Canis lupus familiaris: one gene and its partners. The protein of the gene in region 3 binds, or shares a complex with, the protein of the main gene of each other region. Links are inferred from orthologs where the notes say so. Each region holds a gene or a part of one and is shown on either strand. Other genes may lie near its edges.

Region 1 (4,100 bases), on a different chromosome or scaffold from region 3:
AGATCTATTTTTTTTCTGGCTCCTCTATTAGAATACAAATTTCTGAAAAACAAGGGTCATCCTTAATTCATAAATTGTTTAACGAATTATTAAAATATGCTGAAAGCATGTTCAACACCAAAGAAGTACAAAACAAACCATAATGAGATAGAATTTCTCATTTTAGATCAGCAAACATCAAAAAAATTTATTAACAACCTACTGTGAGGCCCTAGGGAACAGATACTTTTACACATTCCTAGAGGAGTACAAATTGGTATAACTCTTATGGAAAGCTATCAGGAAATTTCTATAAAAATTTTAAGTAGACATACCCTCTAACCCAGCAATACTACTTCCAGGAATTTATTCAGTGTCCTGTGCACAATATTGTCCATTGTAGTATTGTTTAAAGTGGAGTAGTTAAGAAGTAACCTAAATAACCTAAACTGGAGTAGTTAAGAAAAACCAGGGGACTGGTTAAAGGAAGGTGCAATCATATAATAGATTATGTTGCTGTAAAAAAGAAAGGCAGAAATAACGTTCAATGGATTGACGTGGAATTATTTTCAGATTTTAATAGTAAGAGGAAAAGGGCTAATGAACAGTGAACACATTATGTGAATGTTCTATAAAAGTTGATCCTATATGTGTAAAATACCTCCAGAAGGCAACAAACTGAGAATACCAGCTACTGATACGAAAAAGAGCAGGTGTAAGCTAAGAGAGATGGAAGGCAGACTATTCATTGGGTCCCCTTTTTGGTACTTTTTGCATTTGGAGCCATATGAATAGATTACCTATTCGAAGACAATTAAAACAAGATTTAAGGGACGCCTGGGTGGCTCAGTGGTGGAGCATGTGCCTTTGGCTCAGGGCGTGATCCCAGAGTTCTGGGATGTAGTTCTCCAACGGGCTCCCTGCACGGAGCCTGCTTCTCCCTCTGCCTGTGTCTCTGCCTCCCTCTCTCTCTCTGCGTCTCTCATGAATAAATAAACAAAATCTTATATAAAAAAAACAAAACCCACAAGATTTATGCCTATGTAACCCCATGTTTGGGAAGTAAGTCTTACCACCAGTGGTCAAATATAAACAGTTCTCATTTTCCTACCAATAATGCAGCATCAGAAGATAATACATTCCTGGAACACCAGCTCTTTAAGGATCACACATTTTGTCTTTTTCATGGATACATTTTCTGGTGACTGTTCTTTGTTACTAAGTTCTACTGCTCCTTTCCTCATTTTTCTTAGAAGATCTGTGTATCTTTATTATAGTATCCTTATTGTGGCATCTTTGTTATCTTTACTATGGTATCTTTATTTATTTATTTTTTAAAGATTTTATTTATTTATTCATGAGAAACACACGGGCGGGGGGGGGGGGGGGGGCGGGGGCAGAGACACAGGCAAAGGGAGAAGCAGGCTCCACTCCGGGAGCCGGATGTGGAACTTGATCCTGGGTCCAGGATCACGCCCTGGGCGGAAGGCAGATGCTAAGCCACTGAGCCACCCAGGGATCCCCTTACTATGGTATCTTTAATCATAGCATCTCTGTATCAATGTTTTGCTAGTTCCTTCTGTTGAATAAATGAATGAAATTTGTATCTTTTACAATTGCTACCAGAGCTGTTTCCACATGTACCAAATAAATCAGAGTAGGATGAAGTGTTTTATATAATCTAACATGGGGGAGATTTTTATAGGTGTCTCACAATGTGCCATCATCAGTTTGATTTCTTAATACTGGTTCTCCACTGGAAGAATACAAAATGAAACAAATGGAAACCAGAATACACATATAACAAATGATGACACTAATGTCTCCCTTTCCAAAAGAACCTTAGCAGCAACATCAAAGTAGTGTAAAAAAGGAGGCATCAAAAATCATGACCTGGATGTAGTAAAAAAATGCAGTGCTCACCTGAGAAAGACCACCCCAAAACTGTCTGAAGGCTCCCAGACAGCTAATTAGTTTTGTCTTTTCATCTTCAGGGGTGTCCATGAACATTCTAAAAAGCAAAAATCACAGATTTGCTACTAGTTCTTGAGGGGGAATTAATTCAACATAACCAGAATCTTACAGATCTCGCGTGCCTCCAAGGCAAACCTGAGTCACATCTTCCAAAGACACTCAAGTAAAAACACAAAAATCTGCCATGCATATACGTATACACTCACCCAGGAAAAGCCTCTTCTATAATTTCCGTTTTCTGTAAAAAAAGAAAAATAAGCGGTGTAAAAAAGTAAAAAAAATAAAAATAAAAAAAGGGGGGGACGCCCCTAAGACGACATTACAGTGTAACACAGGACAAGTCACCTTGACCCGCCACACGCACAAAATACCCCCGCCCCCCCCCCCCCCCCCCCCCGGCCGGGCCTGTCACAAAGGGTGCTGGGGATTTCAGTGCAGACTGAATCTGACAGCATGCTGGGACGCGCTAGACCCCTGCAGACGTACGAGAGGCCACAACAGGAGAGGTGGGGGGCGCTGGCCGGGGCGGCTGCTGGGTGCCCCTCCCTCCCCCAGACGCCGCCCCGGCGCCCGGCGGCTCCACTCACCACCACATCCTCAAAAATGCTCTGCAGTTGCGTCTCCATCTGCACCATCGCCCCGGCTCGTCCTGGACGCTGGGCGCGCGGCCCGGTGAGGCCCAAGCTCCGGGAATTGACCGGCCGAGGGGCGGAAGCCCGCAAGAAACTTCAGCTGGCGGGGTAAGCTTTCTTTTCTCTGAAGCGCTCGGCCGAGTGGACCCCCGTCCCCGTCCAGCAAACCGCGGCGCTTGCACGGAAGCTGGGAAGCGTCGGGTGCGTGTGGATTAGCAACCCTGCGGAAACCAGGCCCCCAGCTAGTTGGTTCCGCCGGGGGAGAAGGGCGGCCAGCCGAGCCAGACGAGACTGCCACCAAGTGGAGCCTTGACCCCAAGTCACCCTGAGGCGTCGTCGGCTGCAGGCCGCCACCTCCCGGCTGGAACGGGAGTTCCTTCCTGCTCCAGGCTGATGCTTCTGCCTACTGGCAAGGAAAGAAGCTTGAAGCCCGGGGAATGGCAGCCAGGGAGAAGGGCTCCACCTGCAACCTAGGTCAACCTGTTGTCTGTGAGAGCTGCTGATCTTCTGGAGCCAAGAGTCGAAACCACACTTTTCTTGACGACAGGGACCGTGTCTTCTCAAGTATGGTAACCCCAGTGCCTTGCACAGTGCCTGACACATAGCAAGCTTTTAACATAAAGGTCGGGGGGTAAAAAAAAATGAATGCATTATTACTGAATTTTAATTAGAATAATAAAATAATTATGTCTGCCGTTTTAGTTATAATCATCTAAAATAATATTTATCAATTTCTGAATACCTAGAGCTTCTTTGGTGAGGGTAGAAGTGGAGAAACCTTGGTAGATAGGAAGGCTGATCCATCTGCAGTGTCAGAGCCGTGGCTAAGTGCGCTGTGGGGTGTGCCCCTCCACCGCTGTGTTCTTCCAAGCACTAGTTTGACTCTTTCCTGGATGCCTGCCCTCCTCGCTCAAGCTGATGTAGGGTCTCTTCTTTATCCTCATGTAACACCTTTGTGCATAAGTAGTACAGTACTTCATTTATGAAATATTTGTTCACTCTTTGCTCAGCACTAGCCACAATATTAGGTATACTTAATGAACCATATTGCAGGAATCAATTTTGTAGGATGTCCAAGCTAGAAGGATGACAGGGCCAGAATTATTAAAATCTAAGCAGCGTAACAATCTATTATTCTTTTTTGTATGCTAAACATATTATCTTATTTTGGACTATCTTTAGTCAGGTAGACTTGTAAGAGTTTTCAGTTGGCAGATTTCCATGCTTCCACTCTGTTTCCTCTCTCTCTCTCTCTATATATATATATAGACTCAATATGATTTACATAGCAATTATCCCCAGATTACTCTATAGATTAAATTTAATCCCAATAAAAATTCCAGCATTTTTTGGTCAAATAGACAAGCTGATTCTAAAATTTATATGGAGCACTTGATGGGATGAGCACTGGGTGTTATTCTGTATGTTGGCAAATTGAACACCAATAAAAAGTAAATGTATTATTAAAAAATACATAAATAAAATTTATATGGAAATACAAAGGATTTAGAATAG
Region 2 (4,042 bases), on a different chromosome or scaffold from region 3:
AAAGCATCTAGGGATGAGAGCACTAACTGATATTTGCAGTGTCGAGAATGGTGCCTGGCATGCAGTAAGCATTCACTAAGTAATAACTACTATTTATGTCACTATACACATCCTTCACCCTTCCCACCTACTCATATATTCTCTTAGAATACTGGGCACTTCCTTTAGTGATGTTCTTTCCAAATCTGATTTTATGCTCAGATCTTCTAATTTCAAAACTCTGCTACTCCCCAGCTCAGCAGCACTTGGGTAAGGTACTTAACCTTCACTTTTGGGTTTCCTTATCTGCAAATGAGAAATGGATATTGCCACCTCCCTGGCACAAGTTTGAGTAACATCATGTACGTACAAGTTCCTTTCATTAGCACCTAATGGGTGCTCATATGCATTTTCTGGTTTAATGCAGAAGGTCCTCACAACACACCGTAAGGCAGGTATCTTAATGAAGAAGGAAACAGGATCGGGATAGTCAAGACTTGCCCAAAGTTGCACAGACAGCTAAATGGCGACACCAATACTGGGACGAAACTTCACTCTGAGCCAAATGTTTTTTCTTTTCTTTTTTTTCCCACGAAACCAAAGCTGCTCCCTAAGTGCATAAGCGCTACAACTAAGTTAACTCACGCTGTTCACGGCATTCCAATGCCTGCAGAAATGCAAAAACCATCAACGTACTAGTGCCATGTTGCCCACGGAAACTGCGGTAGAAAAATCAAACCTCAGGTTTTGTTAACATCGATATTAAAGACCGAAGAATCCGAGAGCCCTGGAGCCGGGGACGTGTCTGAAATTTCAATAAACAAAACAAAGCGACGGGTTTCTGCTCTAGCCGCCCCCACGACGACACTGCGGGCCGCGGGGAGGAGGCTCAGTCAGTGGTCGGGCCTTTGGGGCCGGGCCGGTCCCTGCGCAGGCTACGCGGCCCGGCCGCCCCCAAACCGGGAGGAGGCCTCCTCCTCGGGGCCCGGGGTCCAGCGCCCTGCGTTGCGCCCGCCCGCCCCTCACCTCCGGCTCCGGGCGCTCCGAGGCCATCACACAGCCCTCCCGCGCCGGCCCGGGCCAGAGAAGATGCTCCACTCTTGACCCTTGACCCGGCTCCCGGAGACCCGCCGGAACCGGAAGTGAGTGGGCGGGCCGCGCTCTCCCTGAGTTTTCTGATTGGGGGACGAGGCCTCTAGAGTGGATCGCCGACTAGGAAACCGGAAGCGGAAGCCGCCGCCGCCGCCGCCGCCGCCGCCGCCATCGCCGCCTTCGCCATCGCCGCCGCCGCTATAGCCGCCATCGCCGCCATCGCCATGCAGGTGAGAGCGGGCTTGGGGCTGTTAACCGCTAGCTAGCTTCAGGTGACAGGACTGAGAATGGGCTGGCCGAGGAGAGAGTGAGGAGTCGGGGCCGACTGGAGGGGCAGAGCGCGTAGCTGACGGGTAAGGGCCCGCGGGGGCGCGGACGACTGGAGCGGTGGGGGTGGGGCCCACCTGGCAAGAGATGGGAGGTTGGGGCCTTGTCGTGGGGAAGGAGGCTGCGTGGACTAGCTGGCGTGCACGGAGGGATCAGGCTACGGTAACTGGGACGGTTGATATGCAATGCAAGGAAGGCAGCTCAAGAAAATGCAAGTTGGCTCCGGCCCCTGCCCAAGCTGTTGGATGTAGACGTGAGGGATCTGGATGGAATTGCAGAGGAGCCCGAGGGATTGGGGGAAGGGGAGGGAGGCCCAGAGCCGAGCTACTTAAAATCTGAGGCTCTGTGAGTGGAGCCCCGGATCCAGGCCCTCCTCATGCCCCTTGGTGAGTTTGCAAGACAGCTCTGCATCATTTCTCCCAGCCTGAGCCTGTTAGTTGTTGAGGATGAAGAAATGGAGTAAAACTGGAGACCACAGACGGGAGGAAACTGCAGACACCCCAGCATTTTAAAATTGTGTCTCTGGCGCCTAGGAGCATGTGCGTTTTGTCTTTGTTTTTCACTTGCCACTTACTTTCTTGCACCTGGTTGGCTGTCAGTAAATGTCTTCAGGCTGAGTGAGCTTGTGGAAGGGACGCAGGAATACGGGCACAGAGATAAAGCGAAGGGCACAGAGATAAAGCGAATGCCGACTAATCCAGCAAGAAGAAGCTTGAAAACTTCAAATGCTGACGCAGATGAGGAGTGGGGGAGGGGCCGTGGGGTACAAGTTTCAGGGAAACCTTAGTTTCCTTCGTTTCCACAAGCATGAGTATGTTTTCCGGAGATTATGTGACTGGCAAGAACTTCCAGGCTCACAAGGCAAGTTCTAGGACAAGAGAAAGACAAAATACTGCAGAGGCACACAAAAGTTAATAAAGCCCAGGGATTATGTCTGAAAAAAATGCCTCAGTGAGAGTGTTTCTATTTTTTTTTTAATTTTATTTATTTATTCATGACAGACACAGAGAGGGAGAGACACAGGCAGAGGGAGAAGCAGGCTCCATGCAGGGAGCCCGACATGGGACTCAATCCTGAGGCCCCAGGATCACGGCCCCTGGGCCAAAGGCAGCACTAAACCGCTGAGCCACGCGGGCTTCCCTGAGAGAGTGTCTAATACAGAGGAAAGCCAGACATGAATTAGCAGACAATGAGGGAAAGGAGGAATTGAGGTCAGGCAAATGGATTGAAAGGTCTAAGAATTGATGCTGTCTGTAACCCAAATACCAAAGATAGAGAACAGCCTGGCTTTCCTGCACCAGTGAGATCCTGGGTTACTTGACTAGTTTTGCATACTGTCATCCCGGCTTTTCAGCCTTCCCTGTATACGACATAGCCACACCTATCTGGGTAACCAACCTGTTCCTATTGGTGCAGAGGGAGGAGAAGCAGCTGGAGGCATCATTAGATGCACTGCTGAGTCAAGTGGCTGATCTGAAGAACTCACTGGGGAGTTTCATATACAAGTTGGAGAACGAGTATGACCGGCTGACCTGGTAAGGGTTGCCAGGGCAAGCTGAGGAGGGCTCCATGGGGTGGGGGTTGAGGGGGCAGGCCTCCTGATTGATAGGACATCTCCAGGGATGTCACAATTTATCACTTTGCAAACATTTTTTTTTCTTTTAAATTTCCAAGTTTGTTTTTTTGTTTTTTGTTTTTAGATTTCATTTATTTATTCATGAGAGACACAGAATGAGAGAGAGGCAGAGACACAGGCAGAGGCAGAAGCAGGCTCCCTGCAGGGAGCCCGACGTGGAACTCGATCTCGGGTCTCCAGGATTACGCCCTGGGCTGAAGGCGGTGCTAAACCACCGAGCTACCCGTGCTGTCCTGCAAACATCTTTTAATTTGAAAAGATCTATGTTTCCCAACATTTAACAAGTGAAGTTTGTCTTAGGGCCACTGTGGCACGGAAATAGAGAAATGCCCAGTTTTCCAACCCAAGTTTTTTCTAGCTTTTGATTGTCACCCTTGACTTCTTTGGGAGGAGGTACTCCGTCAGTGGGTCCTCCCACTATAGTAAGAGTACAGCGTTCATCTCGGGTCTCTTACGATAGATATTGCTGAGTCTTTTAGGTCCAACCTACTCTGGAAGTGTGGATCCTGTTTTCAGGCCTGAAAGATCTCTTTTTGCTCAGTTTATAAATTTTTAATGATAAGCATAGCCATGGTTCTTACTTTGCCACTGGTCTTTTACCCCATTCAAATAATGAGCTGCCTTATTTCTCCATCCATGTTAGAAACTAAAAGCGTGTCCCGTTTTCATAACCCCACAATCCCTGGGATCCAGTCTGGTTCCTGCCCAGTCCAGCTGTAGTGCTCTGAGTCTTTTTCGAGTGAGCCTGGGTATTCCTAGTCTGAAAGACCCCTTCGAGGCTACTTTACTGAGAACATTGTGACACCTTCTTACCACTACCAGGCCGTCTGTCCTGGACAGCTTCGCCTTGCTCTCTGGACAGTTGAACACTTTGAACAAGGTCTTGAAGCATGAAAAGACACCGCTGTTCCGCAACCAGGTCATCATCCCCCTGGTGCTGTCTCCAGACCGTGATGAAGATCTCATGGTAAGAAGAGAAGAAGGGCATAACATGGGAAATTAAATTCT
Region 3 (4,053 bases):
CTTTGTGGTCTGTGGGCCAATAGTTTTAGACTTCTGTTTTATATTCTCCCTTGGGTGATTATTAGTTAATTCCCTGGCTTTTAACACCATTTCTACCAGTCATTCTCAACCAAGGGCAATTTTGCCCACCAGGAAACATAGGGCAAGGTCTGGAGATATTTTTACTTGTCACAACTGGGGGATGGGGTGTTACTGGCATCTAACTGGTAGAGGCTAGGGATGCTGCCGAACACTTACAATGCGTATGACAGCCCCCAAAAAGGAATTATCCCAGCCCCAAATGTCAAAATATTGTGCCAAAGTGGAGAAGCCCTGTTCTGTGTTTATGACTCTGTACTTTCTAGCTCTAATCCAAACTGCCTGATCTCCTGGATGGCTCATAAAGCATTCAGGTTGAACCACTTGCATAAAGTCACAGATTAAGTAGTAGAGGAAGGATTCAGAACCATAGTATCTTAAACACTACTCTACATTATCAAGGATAAACAAAAAAACATTGCTTCCATCTTAGTGCCACTTACAACCTAACAAAAAAAACACAAAAATAACTACCAAGTTTTAAGGCTCCTACAGAAGGCCAACAGTTCTACCAAAAATAAGTCTAAAAATTCCACACAGGAAAATTATCATAAGCAAAATTAAAAGACAATCCCATTCTTTTGGGAGAAAAATGCCTGCAAGCTAACAGAGCAAATATTGGAAATTTTATTTTGACTTTTCAAAAATTTATTTTCTGACTCCACTCCCACCGGAAGGAGGGCACTAGGACTTCAGGAACTGCCGAATACACAACTCCATCTCCAGCACCTCAACACCTAAAAGATCCTCAATAAAGGCCCACTGATTGAGTTTTTTTTTTTTTTTTAACCTCCGTTTTTTAAAACAGAATAATAGACAAAAGAGGACAAGGAGGAGGGCTCGGGTGGTTCAGTCGGTTAAGCTTCTGCCTTTGGCTCAAGTCATGGATTCAGGTCCTGATCTCAGGGTCCTGGGATTGAGCCCGCATCCGGCTCCCAGCTTAGCAGGGAATCTGCTTCTCCCTTCTCCCTCTGCCTTTCCCCACGCTGGGCTAGCTCCCTCTCTCTCAAGTAAATAAAATCTTAAAAAAAAAAAAAAAAAGACAAGGGAAATGCAAATGCTGAATAAAAGCAGAAAATTATTCAGACTAATATACTTCTAAAAGCAAAGTTTTAAAAAGAATACTTTTCATCTAACGGACTATCGAGATTTCAAATACTCCATCATTCAACAAATATTAGAACACCTTCCATGCGACAGGCGCTGGATGCCAGCAGAGGTCGCACTCTCCCAGGGCAGCTCTTTCTGTCCAAGGGTCTTGCCCTCTCATGCTTCTATAAAGACCACTTTTTTGCACCACAGACGTCTCAAGAACTCTTTCTTGGCTGTTGGTTTCAAACCCTAACATCTGTCCTACGTCACAAGTGCATAAAAATGTGCACCAAGGGTGTTTAATGCAGCGAGGTTTGAAAAGAGTAGGAAAAGCCGGAAATCATCCATGACTTCATCAATATGAGGAGTGGATAAAATATTTCTCTGTAATATAAGGCGGCCCTCGAGTAAAAGGGGTAAAACTGCTTGCGGGGAGTGGGGGGTGGAGGTGGGGGTGATAAACAGTGTTTATATGTGATTACTACCAAAATCAGAGAATTAGCATTGATCTGGTTACTTCAAAAGCGACTGTAAGAGACAGCCCAGGCTCTGCCTCACTCAAGCATTTTTAGTTGGGCGCCCGGTTCCGCGCCTCCCCACGCCACAAGCCACAAGCACTCCTCTATTCAACGTGCAGGTTCCCAGTCCCACGTGACTGGCACGTTTTAAAGCCTCTCGGCGGACGCCTGGGTGGCTCAGGGCGGGATCCGGGGATCCGAGATCGAGTCCCACGTCTGCAAGGAGCCTGCTTCTCCGTCTGCCTGGGTCTCTCATGAATAAATAAATAAAATCTTTAAAAAAAAAAAAAATTAAAAAAAAAAAAAAAGCCTCTCGGTCTTCCTCACACGCCTGTCAGCTTCCTTCGCGAGAGGAAGACTCCGCGTCTCGGAGGGGCCGCCTGCGCCGCGTCGGGGCTAGCGAGTCCACGGCAACGCTCCTCATCCCGGCTCCTTTCCGCGGCCCAGGGCAGGCTCGCCCACGGAAGCAACCTGACGAGTCGCACCGATTCTGCTCATTCCTCCACCGCTTCTCTGGGGCCAACTCTTCCGAGGCGGTGTCTCCACTGAAACCGGCGCCAAGCGTCACGGCCGGTGACCGGACCCCAGACCCCCCTTCCGTGGGGCTCAGCCGACAGGAAGGCATTCCAGGGTCCCGCCCCGCCCCCGAACACCTCCCCCTCGACGTGGCCACCAGGCTTGGGATCGCGGCCTCCTGCACCCCGCACTACCGCGGCCGACCTCAGGCTCCATCCCCGACGAGCGCGGGCAAGGCCCGGGGGCCGAGGCCCGCCACGTCCGCCCGGCTCAGCACACCCGCGGCGCGGGACTGGAACTCAGGGCTCCCCCACGGAGGAAGCCCCGAGCGCGCCGCGCCGACGGCACCTTCCGCCCGGCTCCCCGCGAGCAGCAGCGAGGCCGCATCTCCGAGGGATGTGGGAGAGGAAGGTGACGGAGCGTGTCCGCGCCAGGCTTCCCCCATTCCCAGCCGGCCCTGGGGGAGCCGCGGGGTCCGGAAGGCGAGACGCACGCGGCACGAAGCCGCAAGCCGTCGCCGCCCACTTACCTCAGCCCAGGCTTGACGCTGGAGCCGCCTTCGCCTCCGCAACCGAAAGCCGACTTCCGGCCACCTCCTCCAGGAAGAAGCCCGTGACACTGCCCCTTGATTGGCTGAGAGAACTGTATGTTAGCCGCCGCTCTAGTCCCGCCTCCAACCAAAACCTTGCTACTGCGCCTGCGCGTATCTCCCCGCGCCCTCGGCGGTCGGGTCGCCGGCGGCCTCGGGCGTGGGGGTGTCTGTGCTAGTACTTTCTATCAGTAAAAGCTGCAACTGGTAGCTTCGCTCCTTTGTTATCTTTTTTTTTTTTTTGACACCTGAGATTAACTTATCCGTTTGCCTTACATGAAAATTAGAAAATGCAGATAAGCCGATTTTTAAAAATTAGATCGACTCTAATCCTACTGTCCAAAATAGCATTACATTTATTTTCAATCTGGAAATATTTATGAACGAGATCGGGAATTCATAGCGTTCTCAGTTTCTATTTCTTCACATTCATATTTATTTTCATTTAGGAATTGAAACATAGCTATGTTTCCAGGTAACAAAAAATGTATCAAAGTTTTTGGGAGGTAATTTTCAGAAGAAGTAACAAACTTATAAATTCGTGGAAATCTGACGAGAGCATACTGGACATAAAAGAAAATTGTTATTCTGATAAAAGTTTTCAACTTTGCCTCTAAAATAAGATTACTTGGTTTCATTTTTTAGAAAAGAACGAGATTCCGAGTATATGCAAAAGTAGAGGGGCGCCTAGGTGGCTGAGTGGGTGAAGCCTCTGCCTTCAGCTCAGGTCGTGATCCCAGGGTCCTGGCATCAAGCCCTACTTGGGCTCCCTGCTCAGCAGGGAATCTGCTTCTCCCCCTCCCCTCACACTGCTCTTGCTCTCTCTCTTCCTCTCTCAAATAGATAAGATCTTTAAAAAAAAAAGTGTACTCATTATCCACCTTCAATCTATATCTACCCATTAGATCTAGACATTATTTCGTTTTAATATACACGTCCAAAATAGGACTCTCATTTTCCCCCATAAGGATACAGGTGTTATATCATTTAAAAATAAGTTAGTAGAGGTGCCTGGGTGGCTCAGTGGTTCCGTGTCTGCCTTTGGTTCAAGTTGTGATCCCAGGGTCCTGGGATCAAGTCCTGCGACAGGCTCCAGATATGGAGCCCGCTTGTCTCTCTGCCTACATCTCCGCCTGTCTCTCTGTCTTTCATGAATAAATAAAATCTTTTTTAAAAAAAATAAAATAAAATAGTAATTATTTAAATTCATCAAAATCAAGGGCACTTAGGTGGCTCAATTGTTTAAGCTTCTGATTCTCA
Region 4 (3,500 bases), on a different chromosome or scaffold from region 3:
CAATTTTTTATACCCCAAATTTCTTATCTGATGGGATTCCTATTTTAGGGATCAGCAAACTTTTTCTGTTGAGAGTCAGTAAATATTTTGGGTTTTCTGGGCCACATCATCTCTGTCTCAACGATTGTTCTGATATTGTAGCACAAAAGCAGCAACAGACAGTAAGAAATATATGAACAGGGCTGGGTTCCAGTAAAGTTTTATTTACAAAAACAACAGATACCTTGAGCTATACTTTGCTACCATTGGTCTTATAAAAGAAATACAAATTTAATACCTAGGTCATATCTGCAGACTTGTGCATAAAGCTTGAGTTTAGAAAATGCTTCATTGTTACCATCAGCTGCCTGAGAAAACCATTCGGCTACCAACTTTTCTGATAGTTTCTTTGATGCAGTAGATCCAACTCTCATGATTCCATCTGTCAACAGTCGAGAAATAGGTCTATGTTGACCTAATCGACAGGACTACAGATATACATAGAAAGCAGAATTAGTGATTTTATTATAGTATTTGAGTATACACTATAAAATAAAGCATTTTAGTTATTTTTTTAAAAGATATATTTCTAAGTAATTTCTAAATCCAACATGGGCTGAACTCACAACCCTGAGATCAAGAGTTGCACGTTCTACCAACTGAGCCAGCCAGGTGCCCTAAGCATTTAAGTTATTTAAATTAAGATTTATAATTTATTATTAATATTTGGGATAAAAATATCAAATGAAAAGGTACATCTTTTTCCTTTTTTTTTTTTTTTTAAGATTTTATTGATTTATTCATGAGACACAGAGAGAGAGGCAGAGACATAGGCACAAGAGAAGCAGGCTCCATGCAGGGAGCCCGATGTGGGACTTGATGCCAGGACTCCAGGATCGCGCCCTGGGCTGAAGGCAGATGCTCAACTGCTGAGGCACCCAGGCTCCCTATCTTTTTCTTTTTACATTAGAAATCCATTAAATTTTTTTTCAAAATTAAACTATCACTAATGAAATAAAACATCCAGGTTAAGAACCATGTGGTTTGAATAATGAAGACTTGAAGAATACAGATATAAGTGAACATAAATACGTACATACATCCAAATCAAGTCAAAATAAAAATTGGTATATAAATATATTATGTAATTGCCAGCTCTCCCTCCAATTCTGTGGGCCACTGATGTTTGTTACAAGAAGCCCAATATCAAGTTTCTAACACTAAATTTAAAAAATTTAGACAGAGGATTTTTTTTTTTTTAAAGTACATTCCACACATAATGTGGGGGCCCGAACTCACAATCTTGAGATCAAGAGTGAGACATTCCACTGACTGAGCCAGCCAGGCATCCCTGGACAGAGGATTTCTTTACTGTTAAGATTTTCAAAGGCTTAAAAAAGAAAACAACAAACTTTCAAAGGTTTTAATAAACTAGTATGAATAGAAAATCTCTTAAAAAGTAATATAATACATAATATTTCCCCCAAATCTGATTAATTATGGAATTTTTTCCAGAAAGATTTTGCAGAACCAATGTTCCAAGTAACACTCTTTGGAAAATACTTCTTTCTACAAAATACACTACAGATACCTTGTAATTAAGTGGAACACTTATTAGGAACTAAACTAGCACAAACTAACAACTCAGACTATAGAAGAAATTAAATTTTAAAGACTGATTTCTAAGCATTTATGGGGAAAGGAAGTATAATTAAGACTTGATGTCCTGTACCACTTAAAATCTGTAATCACTGCACTCAGTGATGGACACAACATGAAAATTATAAGATCAGTCAAGAATTAAAAAGAACAATCAAGAATTTCAGAAATGATACAGATCACAGAGAAATCTAACACAGGCTTACTTTATGAAAGCAAGGCCTATTGTCAGTACCTGAGGCCCTAGACAATCAGAACTAGAATTTCTGTAAGTGTAATTTTCTTCCTGGCTATTCAACAATGCAACTCTTCGTTTCAAAAAAAAAAAGATGTTTAAAAAAAAAAAAAAAAGATCCTAAGTGGCATATATATGCCCTCAATGGTTTTTCCTCAATATAGCAATTTCTACTGTGAACCATGGCACACACACCTAATGAACAGTTCGGGTCAAATGCTGTGAAGAACACCACTGGCTAGCATGAGAACTACACAACCAGTTTCACATCATTATTACCCATCCCAATCAATTCAACTTTCCAGTATATTTCATACATAAACATACAAATTATAGTTTTAAAAAGCTACCTCTTTTTATATCTTAAATATTTTTATTTATTTATTTAAGAGAGAGAGAAAGAGAGTGAGTGAGCATGAGCCAGGGGGAGGGGAAGAGGGAGAATGGAAAAGCAGACTCCCAACTGAATGCTACTCTTATAAAATTTTCTTTAAATTCAATTAATTAACATAATGTTTTATTGGTTTCAGAGGGAGAGGTCATTGGTTCATCAGTCTTATATAACACCCAATGCTCATTACATCACATGCCCACCTTAATGTTCATCACCCAGTTACCCAGTCCCCCTACCGTCCTCCCCTCCGGTGACCCTGTTTTTCCTATGCCATAAGAGACTTAATTATAGGAATGCTACCTCTTTTTAAACACCTACCTCATATATTGCAGTGAGGTCTCTAAAAAAGCTTTTGGCTCCATTTAACAAGGCTTCATTTTCTGGACATAATACAACATAGGCTATATCTCTTTGAGATCCATAGGGTTCCAGCATAAGTCTCTCCCAATAGGGGAGTGCAAATGGAGAAAGCACCAGAAAATCATAATCATAACCCAACAAAAACGTAGGGATTGGCAGTGGTTCAGGGGATTCATCAGTTCCTAAATAAGAAAAACATATTTTAAGAAAAACATTTAAGAAAAGTTACGTGTCTTCCTTTTATTTAAATGTCAAAGTTACTGAAATCGTTATTATTAAAAATATTTTATTCAAGACAAAAATATCGGGATCCCTGGGTGGCGCAGCAGGTTTGGCGCCTGCCTTTGGCCCAGGGCGCGATCCTGAAGACCCGGGATCGAATCCCACGTCGGGCTCCCGGTACATGGAGCCTGCTTCTCCTTCTGCCTGTGTCTCTGCCTCTCTCTCTCTCTGTGTGTGTGTGTGACTATCATAAATAAATTAAAAAAAATTAAATTAAAAAAAAAAGACAAAAATATCTAAAGCCAATCAATAATTGAGACTTTTCCACAGTTAGCAATTTGCTAAATGGCCTTTTCTTTTTAAAGATTTTGTTTATTTATTCATAGACACACACAGAGAGAGAGGCAGAGACACAGGCAGAGGGAGAAGCAGGCTCCATGCAGGGAGCCCAATGTGGGACTCGATCCCGGGACTCCAGGATCACGCCCCAGGCTGCAGGCGGCGCCAAACTGCTGCGCCACCGGGGCTGCCCTGCTAAATGAATGGTCTTAATGGAACATATGACTTATACCTTTACATGGCTGTAAAAAAAAAAATTAAGTTGAATGAAAAAACTTAGTACAAAAGAAAACATAGGAGGGGAGTTTTATT
Region 5 (3,967 bases), on a different chromosome or scaffold from region 3:
CTCCCTCCCCCTTTGCCCCTCCCACTTGTATTCTCTCTCTCTCAAATAAATCTTTATTTTTTTTTAAAGATTTTATTTATTCATGAGAATACACAGAGAAGAGAGAGACAGAGAGAGGCAGAGACACAGGCAGAGGGAGAAGCAGGCTCCATGCAGGGAGCCCAATGCAGGACTCGATCCCGGAACTCCAGGATCACGCCCTGGGCTGAAGGCGGCACTAAACCGCTGAGCCATCTGGGCTGCCCTCAAATAAATCTTTAAAAAAAAATTTTTTTTTTAAATTTGAGCTCACCCCAACATGGCCTTTAAGATTAATCTCCAACCCTTCAGGCTATTTCAAAGCTTTCGATAATCTAAGTCAACTCTACTTCTTCATTTTCTACTAATTCCTTCATATATACCTAACTAGTGATAAATTCATTCCAGACTATACTGTGTTGCTCATGTTTTGCTACTTGTAATGGCACAGTATTAAGTGCTTAGAAGCTGTACAGATGTGGATTCCAATTCTGGTTCTAGTAACCTGAGTACAGTTTTTAATTTTTAAACTGGGAACATTTTCACATTACACCACTGTTCTGAGGAATAAAGAAAACACACAAGCATAAATATTCAACACAGTGGCTATCTGTTGTGTTCTTCAAAAGCTCTCTCAAGATCCATTTATTCAATAAATATTAAAAAAATCAACTCTATGACAAGCATTGTAATAAACATTATAATGAAACAATGAACAAAGGCACAGCTTCTGCCCTCATGGAGTTCTCAGGGGGTAAAACAAATAACTTTAATAATTTTACAAATAATTACAATTCAGATCAATGCTTAGAAGATTTCCTTTACTCAGTTCATATCACTCTCTATTCCAATTTACCTCAGCACTTACATTTGAAGGCGCTTGATTCATTATAAACACCTAACCAAATCCTACTTTTAAATTATTTAAATGTCTTGAGTATATGACATCATTCCAATTAGACTGTAAACTCCCCAAGGAGTATTTTTCTGTAAACATGAGAGTGCTTACATACACATTAGGCATTCACACTAGTTAACCTAGAGATTTCTCTCCAAAATCCAATTATCAGCATGCTTACCCTGGAGTCAAGGCCATATTCACTGTCTCCTATTATCTCTCTGGTTACAAGACATGTATGAATATGCAACATTTCTCCTAAAATAACATTTCTGCCCAGCAGCATCGTTACAATTTGATTCTGAAGAGCCTCAAAGTAATATCTCCCAGAAGGAAGTTGGCTGGCAGCCCACGCATGTCACCATAAAGTAGAATTTATCTTAGTGACTTCATCAACCTTTAGGGGCTAGCCCTCTCAGTCCTAAAAGGTCTTATTTTATTTACGGAGTAAGTCAGTTTTATTTTATTTTTTTTAAGACTATTTATTGAGAGACGGGGGGGGGGGGGGGGGGGGGGGGAGAGGGAGAGAGGCACAGACACAAGCCCACTCCATGCAGGGAGCCTGAGGTGGGACTCGATCCTGAGTCTCCAGATCACACCCCGGGCTGAAGGTGGCGCTAAACCGCTAAGCCACCCGGGGCCGCCCGGAGTAAATCAGTTTTTCACAAGTCGATTCCCCCCTCATTTGAAGTGAACAAAGATGGATGCAACAAGAATCCTAACTTCTTATCTTCCGGTGTGAAAAAAACTGGCAAGGGAACAGATACTTCGATTTTCCAGTCAACATATTCTCTCTCTAAAGACATTTGACCTGGGATATCAAATTATAAACAGATTGGCAGGCCCGGGTGGCTCAGCGGTTTAGCGCCGCCTTCGGCCCAGGGTGTGATCCTGGAGACCCCAGATCGAGTCCCGCGTCGGGCTCCCTTGCATGGATTGTACTTCTCTTTCTCATGAATAAATAAAACCTTAAAAAAAAAAAAAAACAGATTGACAATGAGAAATATAACTAATGGCAAACTGTTGAACTCTTTATGGTCATGAGCACATGAATCCTCTGGTTCGCATGTACTTTCCAGTCAGGCATAACAGGAAAAAAATAATAAGGATCAAAGTAAGGGGGTCGGCTTACAAGATCTGACCCTTAACAGAAAGTAGACTTTTTGCGACACATTAAAGACTTAAATAAATGGGAACATACGCAAGGATTAGAAGATTCACTCTCCTAAAGATGTCAGTTTTCCCCAAACTGATTGATGCCAGGGAGCGCCAAGAGATGGGAACGAGACCCTTTGTCTCTGGGAACCAACGAAGAGGAAACAGAATTTCTCACCTCACCATCACTCCAGGCTCAACCTGCAAAGTCCTGACGCAGGAATACTCTCGGCTGACATTTAACAAAAAAATATCCAATCGTCAGGAGCACAGTTTCTCCTTCGCGGCTTAACACTGATAAGGGAAACAAGGAGCTTCTGCCGCTTTCCCCCTTACCCCCGAAAGAGAAGTGAGCCCAGAAGTACGACTGGCAGTAAAATAAAACTGTTCCCAGAGAACAGGACAGGACCGTGACGCCTAAGTGTCCTGACAGAGAGACCCCCTACTTTTCCGGTGAAAGAGGCTGCTGCTCCCTCAGCTCTCCGCGAAGCCGGCAGCCGGCCTCAAACCTCCCAGGACGCCGCGCCGCCTCCCGCCGCCGCCAGCGCTTTCTGCGGAAGCCCTGCCCCAGTCCGCTCCCCACTTTCGTGTGTTTTTCCCGGGGCCCTTTGCCCTCGTTTTACCTTAAGAAAGGGGAAGACAGAGACCAACAGAGCAAAATCGCTCACCGAGTTCACCGCGTCCTGCAGCTGTGTGAGCCGGTCCGCCATGTTCCTCCTGCAAGCTCCGGAGGCTAAAGCAGCTGCTCGCTCGCTATTGGGCGGCTTCAGGAAGCGTCGTAGCCAATCACAGGCCAGCGTTCTCGGAGGGGGTGGAGTCAGCGGCCCTCCGCGCCCGGCGAGTAGAGCGCGGGTGGGACTTTTGCGAGGCTGTGTTTCGGGCAGCTCCGCCCGCGAAGGCGCCTCGCGGAGGTTATTTTGAGTGACTTTGGGGTGGGGGTTCCGAGTTCCTTCGTTTTGGGTCCAGCAGACTCGTTCTCGAGGTTTTCGGGTGGTAGACAATTTTACGGAGATGGTTAGATGCTGCAGTTTTTAGAAGTGATTTTCCCCATCTTCCCGTGTATATTCGTTTTTAAACATTGCCTTGAATACTTACGTTACTTTGGATTTCCAGGTGGATCACCAAATATATACACAGCAACCAACTCAGGAATACTTGGGGGTCGCGATCCCGATTTTAACTTCAACAAATCCAAATTAAAATTCACCAGGCAATCTTGGCTGTGTTAGGGTGTCTCCTCTGGGGGGGTGGGGGTGGAGGGGGTGATGGGCCACCCAGGTGAAGACTGGGTGCGTGCTTTAATTCTGAATGTGGGTGTGCTGGGGAAGCTGACACACATGGGATGGAAAGCGTCCAAAACAACTAAGCACTAAATCGAGCTGTATTGACCGCGTAAGAAGAAAATGGTTGGGGGCAGCCTGGGTGGCTCAGTGGCTTAGCGCCGCCTTCAGCCCGGGGCGTGATCTTGGAGACCCGGGATCGAGTCCTACGTCGGGCTTGCTGCGTGGAGCCTGCTTCTTCCCTCTACCTGTGTCTCTGCCTCTCTCTAATAAATAAATAAAATCTTAAAAAAAAAAAAAAGTTGGAAAAGGAAGGTTTCTATAGGCAAAGTGAGTAGCAGAAGAGTGGCATCTGGAGTTCAGAGGTAAGGTGTGAGTGCAGTTAACTAATAAAAATCTCGCTCCTCTGACAGCGAGGAACTCAGTAGAAAGAACAGAAGAAGGTTGGTGGAGAGGAGAGTGGAGGAGGTTCCTGGAAAATGAGCCTTATGTGTAGGTAAGGGCAGGGACAATTTTTAAACAGATAAGGTGTGCAATTTATACTTAGCCGTGAGACCTATTGAGGATTTAGTGTGAAGGAAGATAATAGGAACTTGGTATCTGGAGCACCTGGCTG
Region 6 (3,500 bases), on a different chromosome or scaffold from region 3:
TACACTTAATGGCAAGAAAAATATTAAGTATGCTTCCTATTCAACTGAACCTCGACTAACAAATAGGTACTTTATGCTATTTAGTAATAAAGCAGTTAAATCTCAAAAGATAAACTTATACTATCACCAAAAGAATTCCAAAGACCACAGAATCTATTATTCTATTTGAAAGAAGAAGACAAGAATGATAGAATAATAGAATGATACAGTATAAGACTTTTCTCTCTTTTTTTTTTTTTTTTTTTAAAGTAGGCTCCATGTACACCCAGCTGAACATGGGGCTTAAACTCAATGCTGAGACCAAGACCTAAGCGGAGATCAAGAGTCCAATGCTTAACTGACTGAGCCACCCTGGCACTCCATAATACAATTTTTTTTTTAAAATAATTTCAGCCTTATCATAAAGCAAGGTTTTTTTTTTTCCTTTTTTGAGAGTGTGAGTGGGGATAGAGGGTGGGGGGGAAGGGCCGAAGAAGAGGGACAGAATCTTAAGCAGACTCTGTGATGAGTGTGAGCCCAACGCAGGGCTCTATACCACAACTCTGAGATCCTGACCTGAGCCGAAATCAGGAGTTCAACACTTAACCAACTGAGCCACCCAGGTGTCCCAGGACTTCTGTCAGGTCCCATTTCCTCATATACATTGTCTCATTTAATATGATTAACTAACCAGGACGCCTGGGTGGCTCAGTCGTTGAGCATCATGCCTTCAGGGCATGATCCCCAGGTCCCAGGATCAAGTCTGGCATCGGGCTCCTTGCGGGGCTCCTATGTCTCTGCCCCTCTCTCTGTCTCTCATGAATAAATAAATAAAATCTTTTAAAATAAATAAATAAACCTGAAACCACAGTAACTGAAACTAAAAAGTAGATGCCTCAGACATCTTAAAAGTCATTTCTACATAATTCCCATACAACTTGACAAAACACAGAAAGATTTGGTCACAGTTAAAATTTTAAAAATAACGCTATAACCAAATATGAAGGGATACTCTTTTTTCCAGGAATAATTCTTTCTTTTAAAGTAATCTGGACACCCAATGTGGGGCTCAAATTCATGACCCCGAGATCAAGAGTCATATGCTTTACCAACTGAGCCAGCCAGGCAACCAGATCCAGGAATTATTCTTTTTTTTAAAAAAAGATATCATTTATTTATTGAAATAAATAGAAATGAAGATATTACTAGCATACACCCCCAGGAATTATTCTTTATCCAAAATTCTTTTTTTTTTTTAAGATTTTATTTATTCATGAGAGACACACAGAAAGACAGAGGTAGAGACACAGGCAGAAGGAGAAGCAGGTTCCATTCAGGGAGCCTGAAGTGGGACTTGATCCCAATCCTGGGACTCCAAGATCATGCCCTGGGCAGAAGGTGGCGCTAAACCGCTGAGCCACCCGGGCTTCCCTTTATCCAAAATTCTTAAAGTGAAAACTTTCACTCACTAAATCATATAACAAAAGATATTTAACAAACTAAACAAATTAAAATACCCAAGTTAATTTTCTAGAGTAGAAATTTATTAAAAGATTTTGTCTAAAAAATAATAATAAAAGATTTTGTCTAGATTTTCCATACTGGTTGTGCTTCATAATACATCAAATGACATGGTAATATTTGGAAAAACCACCCCATAATATGACCTTTTATAAACACTTTCTTTTCCCACTAAAGAACTTAGTAACAACAACAGGGCTGGTTCTCTCCCTTTAAAATACCACTTGTAATTAGAAAATCATAAACCTCTAGAAAGTCTGTCTTAATATTATTTCCTAATAGAGTCAACTCTCATTACTTTAGGTAATATTTGGAAAACATGCCTTAAATAATCCTAAATAATGACTAGAGCAAAACTAAATAAAAATTGAGTGCCAAAAGGAATTATAAACCTACTAGGTCTAAATTACATTTATTTTTCAAGAATACAATTATGATTCTAAAGACATCTAAGAAACATAATACAAAGGTTTCATAACATTAAGAATGCAAATATTATGATGAAAATCAGTCTATATATCCTATTACTGTCTGGATTTTAGCTGTGCTCTCTCAAAATTACCGAAAAAGAAAATAAGGTGAGCAGAGATTGGGTCTCAGCTCCAAGTTCCCATCTCTCTTCCCTTTCCCTCACTTAATTTCTCTACCCTCACTGCCCTAATAATTCCTCATTGGAATCTATATGACTAGAGCCACACTCATCCTTGCTTTCCCTCCTGCTTTCTCTATGGTTTGGAAGGCAGCCATTATCAGGTGGCAGGGAGGGAAGACAGTAAGACATAGGAAGCATATGGTGAGAAGGAGGCACATGGGAGGAGGTACTATAATACAGGTTATAGTAAAGAAGCTGTGGCACTTATGGAATACTACTTAGTGCCAAACAGTAAATGTCTTAGAGAACCTAGAACAAAGCAGTTAAAAGCATGCAATTAGTAGCCAGACTCCCAGGGTTCAAAATACTGGCTCTGCCACTTACCAGCTCTATGAATTTAGGCAAGTTTCTTACTCTCTATGTAACTCAGTTTCCTCCTTTATGGAATGAAGATATTACTAGCATACACCCCATTGTTTGTTATAAGGATATTATGAGTCAGTTATAGTTTAAAAGGACTTAGAATAGCACTTACATTTACATAAGTAGTATTTACAAATTTACTAAGTAAATGCTACATAAGTGTTTGTTAAATGAATGTATAAAGACGTATATCTTTGATTTTGTATGAATTTCAATACTTTGCATAAAAAAAATCTCCATCTGTCATTATTTTTATACAGGTAATATGAAAACTAGGGCAGATTAACCAATGTGCATTGTGTATACTTCAATGAAGAACAGAAAACTATTTCATACCTCTACTTTGGATGCCAAAAACACACATGTAGGAGCCATTAATACAGGATCTATACTTTTCAGAGAATACCTAAAATATGATGAAAACAAAGTTAAATGTCATTCATATAGAAGACATTCGGAAAAACCAAGATAACTCAATGCAAGCACATGATTCATTTATTTATACTAAGGTTCATCAACATTACGTTAAGTGTTTCAAACAGGCGTAACATAATCTCAAAATAAAAGTCCTACCTGGCATAGAATCTCTTGAAATAGACCGTAGCAGTGGCAATAACTTGTTGTCTTAATTTAAGATGTTCACCTAATGCCTGAATAACTAAAAGAAAAATAATAAAGTTTTAAATGTTCTTTTGTTATCATTATGATATTAACATTGAACAATAACTTTCATGTGGTAAATCATAACTATATTAATTTTTAACAAAGAGAAAAACCTACATATGGTTTAAAGCTCTACTTGGATCACACTGGGTTAGGACTAGGATTTGCAAATCTGTTAAAAGAATATAAGTATGCATAAACAACAATAAAAAATAGAAACTGTCCCCAAAGCAAACACTATTCTTATATTAAGAAGATTGAATGATAGGTATTTCCCTCTATCTTCTAAGTATTTTCAGTGTTTTTCTTTTTTTTTTTTTCA
Region 7 (2,901 bases), on a different chromosome or scaffold from region 3:
CAGAGACTGGAAACACAGACTCTTGTGCAAAAGGATACTGTCTCTTCTGTTTCCCTCTTAAAAACCACCACCACCACCACCAACAAACTTCCTGCGGACCAGTGGTTTGGGGCTGCACACACCATAACACTGGCTAAAAGTCACTGCTTATGGAAGTTTCCGGGTCCATGAGAGAAGTATCAATGAATCCCTCTGGGAATGAACACTGCAGAAATGACCTGTGCCTGCTGAGGAGTAATCACAGTGCAGGACTGTGGAGAGTGGTCTCAAGAAGAGGATGTGGGGCATTTGCAGAGTGTAGCAGGCTCCTTGGGCTGAGGCTGCAGGGAGGAGGAACCGAGCCAGAGAGAACAAGTGCTTTTCCAATTAAAGTATATTCATGATGGCATTGTACAACTGAGTGAGCACCACAAAGTGGACGGGAAGGCAGGAGGTACGGTCCTGGGTAGCCGGATTGCACGTGAGCCAGGATAGAGCGTTGTACTGCTCCAAAACAAACCTGCCGGAGAGAAGAGACAGGTCAGGGGCACGAAGCACAGCAGAGGCAAGGCTGGTTCTATACGTCAACATTCCAGGAGTTGGCAGGGAGGGCCTGTGTCATTCTTTCACTTGTCTCAGGTTTCCCTGTGGCACTTTTCTCACACATCCGCTTTGCCTAGCCCTGCATTACTGGCCACAAATGGAATCACATATGCTATCATATAAAAACAGGATTTCAAGGAATTCATATTAAAAAACAAAACATGTGAAATAGTTCATGAATATTTTTATGTTAACTACTGAAATGATACTGTTTTTCATATACTTGATATTATTCTGATATACTTTTGGTATAATTGATACATTTTAACTTCACCAATTTATTTTACTATTTTAATGTTGCTACTAAAAAAATTTTCATTAGAAATGTAGCTTACATTGTATTTCTCTTGGACGGTGCTGCACTAGAGACCCTGAAAGCCAAAATCATGTTGATCAGGTTCTTGCTTAACTATAATTTCCAAATCATTTTAGAGTTAGTAAACACTAGAAAAAGCTGGCATTTCCTCAAGGTACTTGAAGAATGTTTGTGGCCCGCTACAGTGCAAGAGAATTACTGCATCCTTCTGGAAGATACTTCCTAACTATGGAATTTATGTTCTAGTTAATTTTATTTATATAACTTATGTCAGAAGAAGTAAAAAAGATGCTTTCAAAACCAAGCGCTTGAACTTTTAGGCTCTGTCTTCTAACCATCCACCCCCTATTCTGATCTATTTTCATCACCATAAAATGCCTCCTTTAAATAGGAAGCAAGGACAATTGTACTGCACATACCTATCCCATTTAACAAAGTATACTATACTCTCTGTCCAGTGCTCATATGGGGGGACTGCAACTCTCAGCGGCTAATCAGACAGTGCTCCACAGCACAAAAGGTAGCACCTTTTCTGCATTTTAATTAAATACACCTTGGAAAAACAAAAGTGAAGGAGGATTATTTCACACTGTACTGCTATGTTGCCTATGTCTGTATCTACCTTAAAACATCAGATGTGGTTTTGGAGTCAAGAGGATGTGGAACCCGCTGAGAATTCCTGGCAGGGAGAAGTTCATCCGTCTGTGCTACAGAAATGTGGTGATGCAGTGAAGCCTGGTAAAAGAACAGAGACAGTTACCTTTCTGACAACCTCAACCATGGGGCAGAAAAAAGGAAGACCAATGTATGCTAGTTGCAGACGCCCTCTGGAGTCTTTAGAAGCCACAGCCTCCAGAAGCCTTAATTTTAGGCTCTCAGTAACTCCAATGTGATCCCAAATAACTCCATATCCTAGAGTTGGAAAAAAGCTAGCTTTGCAAATATAAATGCGTTTCAAATGATTCAAAGACCTGCCTCTTGAAGTCCTAATCTCTAGAAGGCCTCAGGGTCTGGATATGGCTAACTGTCCCCTTGTGGTGGGGTTAATACATTCTCTCCTGACTTCTTCTGTAAATCCATAGATTTAGAGGCTCTAACTGGTTCAGTTTCTTTCTAGATGGAGGGGATAAGGGTGCAAGAATACTGCTTAACTGGTGCTATGTCCTTCTTATTGCATCACATCAAAAGGCAACTAATGTCTATTGTCCCACTTGAAGTAGGATTGATCACCGTGTTCAGCAGGTTACCAGCATGCTCCATTTAATAAGTTCCCCATCACTTTTTCACCTAATTTTTACTTTATTAAATAACTGAGAAATATAGTATGTGAGAGTTAATATAAATGCTTCTTTATTTTTTAGTTTTCGACTTAGTAAGCTGCTGTTCTAGTAGTTTCAAAAGGTGACTGAGAAAATGTTCTGGTTTTCAGCACAATTATGAACCCATGTATTTGTTTCATTCTCCTGCTACCACTGTTCTTTATGTTCAAACTGTCCCATCCTTGGGCAATGAGAACCCTCCAGCTGGCTCCTGGGTCCTTTGAAGTAACTCTAATTATCTTAAGTAATTTCCTTGCTTTTCAGTGGGACAACATAGCAAAGGTTCATCCTGAATATTTCTTACTTCAGACCTATAATCAGTCATTTATTCCAAGGGACTCTGGTTCTTTTAAATGATAAATGGTATTTCAGAACCAGAACTGTAGCAAGAGAGTTGTTTATGGATACTATGCTGTCACTGCTCCTAAGTTTTGCAGTAGACCGAGCTAAAAAAAAAAAAAAAAAAAAAGTGTACACCTTTCTTAAGAGGGAAAAATAAATCTAGGTTCATCCTGACAAGTCTAATTTGAAATAAAGATGACGTGGATTTTATATAACTTCCTTGATTTCACAATATGTCATAGCCATTAGTTAAAGAAAATTGCTTCAACTGTTTCTGGTCCAACCCTTCCACTGTTTCTTTTTGAAAACAGAGCAGGCCTGTGTGTGTGTGTGTGCGCGCGC

The links.
Region 1: MED7 (region 3) and MED23 share a complex: the UniProt entries of both Homo sapiens proteins name them as parts of the mediator complex. The link is inferred for Canis lupus familiaris from reciprocal best matches to the Homo sapiens genes MED7 and MED23.
Region 2: MED7 (region 3) and MED8 share a complex: the UniProt entries of both Homo sapiens proteins name them as parts of the mediator complex. The link is inferred for Canis lupus familiaris from reciprocal best matches to the Homo sapiens genes MED7 and MED8.
Region 4: MED7 (region 3) and MED13 share a complex: the UniProt entries of both Homo sapiens proteins name them as parts of the mediator complex. The link is inferred for Canis lupus familiaris from reciprocal best matches to the Homo sapiens genes MED7 and MED13.
Region 5: the proteins of MED7 (region 3) and MED21 are in contact, whole or in part, in a cryo-EM structure (PDB 7EMF), measured with the Homo sapiens proteins. The link is inferred for Canis lupus familiaris from reciprocal best matches to the Homo sapiens genes MED7 and MED21. Residues at the interface, in NP_001094286.1 of Homo sapiens: Phe72, Asp73, His74, Lys75, Leu78, Arg79, Asn82, Ile85, Leu86, Phe89, Leu92, Leu93, Leu96, Phe116, Val119, His120, Ile123, Asn124, Tyr126, Arg127, His129, Gln130, Arg132, Glu133, Leu135, Arg136, Met139, Glu140, Gln142, Lys143; in NP_004255.2 of Homo sapiens: Asp3, Leu5, Thr6, Leu8, Gln9, Val12, Asn13, Leu15, Ala16, Phe19, Ile23, Ile62, Ala66, Ile69, Asp70, Ile73, Asp74, Leu76, Pro77, Ser78, Glu79, Ser81, Ala83, Gln86, Ser89, Leu90, Leu93, Glu96, Asn97, His98.
Region 6: MED7 (region 3) and CCNC share a complex: the UniProt entries of both Homo sapiens proteins name them as parts of the mediator complex. The link is inferred for Canis lupus familiaris from reciprocal best matches to the Homo sapiens genes MED7 and CCNC.
Region 7: MED7 (region 3) and MED13L share a complex: the UniProt entries of both Homo sapiens proteins name them as parts of the mediator complex. The link is inferred for Canis lupus familiaris from reciprocal best matches to the Homo sapiens genes MED7 and MED13L.

Annotation. Positions count from the first base shown.
Region 1 is NC_049233.1:336,264-340,363, reverse strand, and holds the start of MED23 (mediator of RNA polymerase II transcription subunit 23), read right to left. Parts: upstream 2,801-4,100; 5' UTR 2,694-2,800; coding exon of another isoform or gene 2,589-2,693; coding exon 2,541-2,588; coding exon of another isoform or gene 2,407-2,540; exon of another isoform or gene 2,404-2,406; intron 2,192-2,403; coding exon 2,160-2,191; intron 1,991-2,159; coding exon 1,903-1,990; intron 1-1,902. Other genes in the region: ENPP3 (ectonucleotide pyrophosphatase/phosphodiesterase family member 3), read left to right, coding at 2,407-2,693. UniProt on the Homo sapiens protein: Required for transcriptional activation subsequent to the assembly of the pre-initiation complex. Component of the Mediator complex, a coactivator involved in the regulated transcription of nearly all RNA polymerase II-dependent genes.
Region 2 is NC_049236.1:16,881,159-16,885,200, forward strand, and holds the start of MED8 (mediator of RNA polymerase II transcription subunit 8), read left to right. Parts: upstream 1-1,242; 5' UTR 1,243-1,295; coding exon 1,296-1,301; intron 1,302-2,814; coding exon 2,815-2,933; intron 2,934-3,856; coding exon 3,857-4,001; intron 4,002-4,042. Other genes in the region: KICSTOR complex protein SZT2, read right to left, coding at 1,006-1,032. UniProt on the Homo sapiens protein: Component of the Mediator complex, a coactivator involved in the regulated transcription of nearly all RNA polymerase II-dependent genes.
Region 3 is NC_049225.1:53,884,272-53,888,324, reverse strand, and holds the start of MED7 (mediator of RNA polymerase II transcription subunit 7), read right to left. Parts: upstream 2,801-4,053; 5' UTR 2,734-2,800; intron 1-2,733. UniProt on the Homo sapiens protein: Component of the Mediator complex, a coactivator involved in the regulated transcription of nearly all RNA polymerase II-dependent genes.
Region 4 is NC_049230.1:34,684,474-34,687,973, reverse strand, and holds part of MED13 (mediator of RNA polymerase II transcription subunit 13), read right to left. Parts: intron 2,810-3,500; coding exon 2,586-2,809; intron 468-2,585; coding exon 278-467; intron 1-277. UniProt on the Homo sapiens protein: Component of the Mediator complex, a coactivator involved in the regulated transcription of nearly all RNA polymerase II-dependent genes.
Region 5 is NC_049248.1:25,930,815-25,934,781, reverse strand, and holds the start of MED21 (mediator of RNA polymerase II transcription subunit 21), read right to left. Parts: upstream 2,801-3,967; 5' UTR 2,782-2,800; coding exon 2,740-2,781; intron 1-2,739. UniProt on the Homo sapiens protein: Component of the Mediator complex, a coactivator involved in the regulated transcription of nearly all RNA polymerase II-dependent genes.
Region 6 is NC_049233.1:58,025,967-58,029,466, forward strand, and holds part of CCNC (cyclin-C), read right to left. Parts: intron 3,174-3,500; coding exon 3,089-3,173; intron 2,922-3,088; coding exon 2,852-2,921; intron 1-2,851. UniProt on the Homo sapiens protein: Component of the Mediator complex, a coactivator involved in regulated gene transcription of nearly all RNA polymerase II-dependent genes.
Region 7 is NC_049247.1:13,104,998-13,107,898, forward strand, and holds part of MED13L (mediator of RNA polymerase II transcription subunit 13-like), read right to left. Parts: intron 1,634-2,901; coding exon 1,521-1,633; intron 954-1,520; coding exon 918-953; intron 500-917; coding exon 367-499; 3' UTR 1-366. UniProt on the Homo sapiens protein: Component of the Mediator complex, a coactivator involved in the regulated transcription of nearly all RNA polymerase II-dependent genes.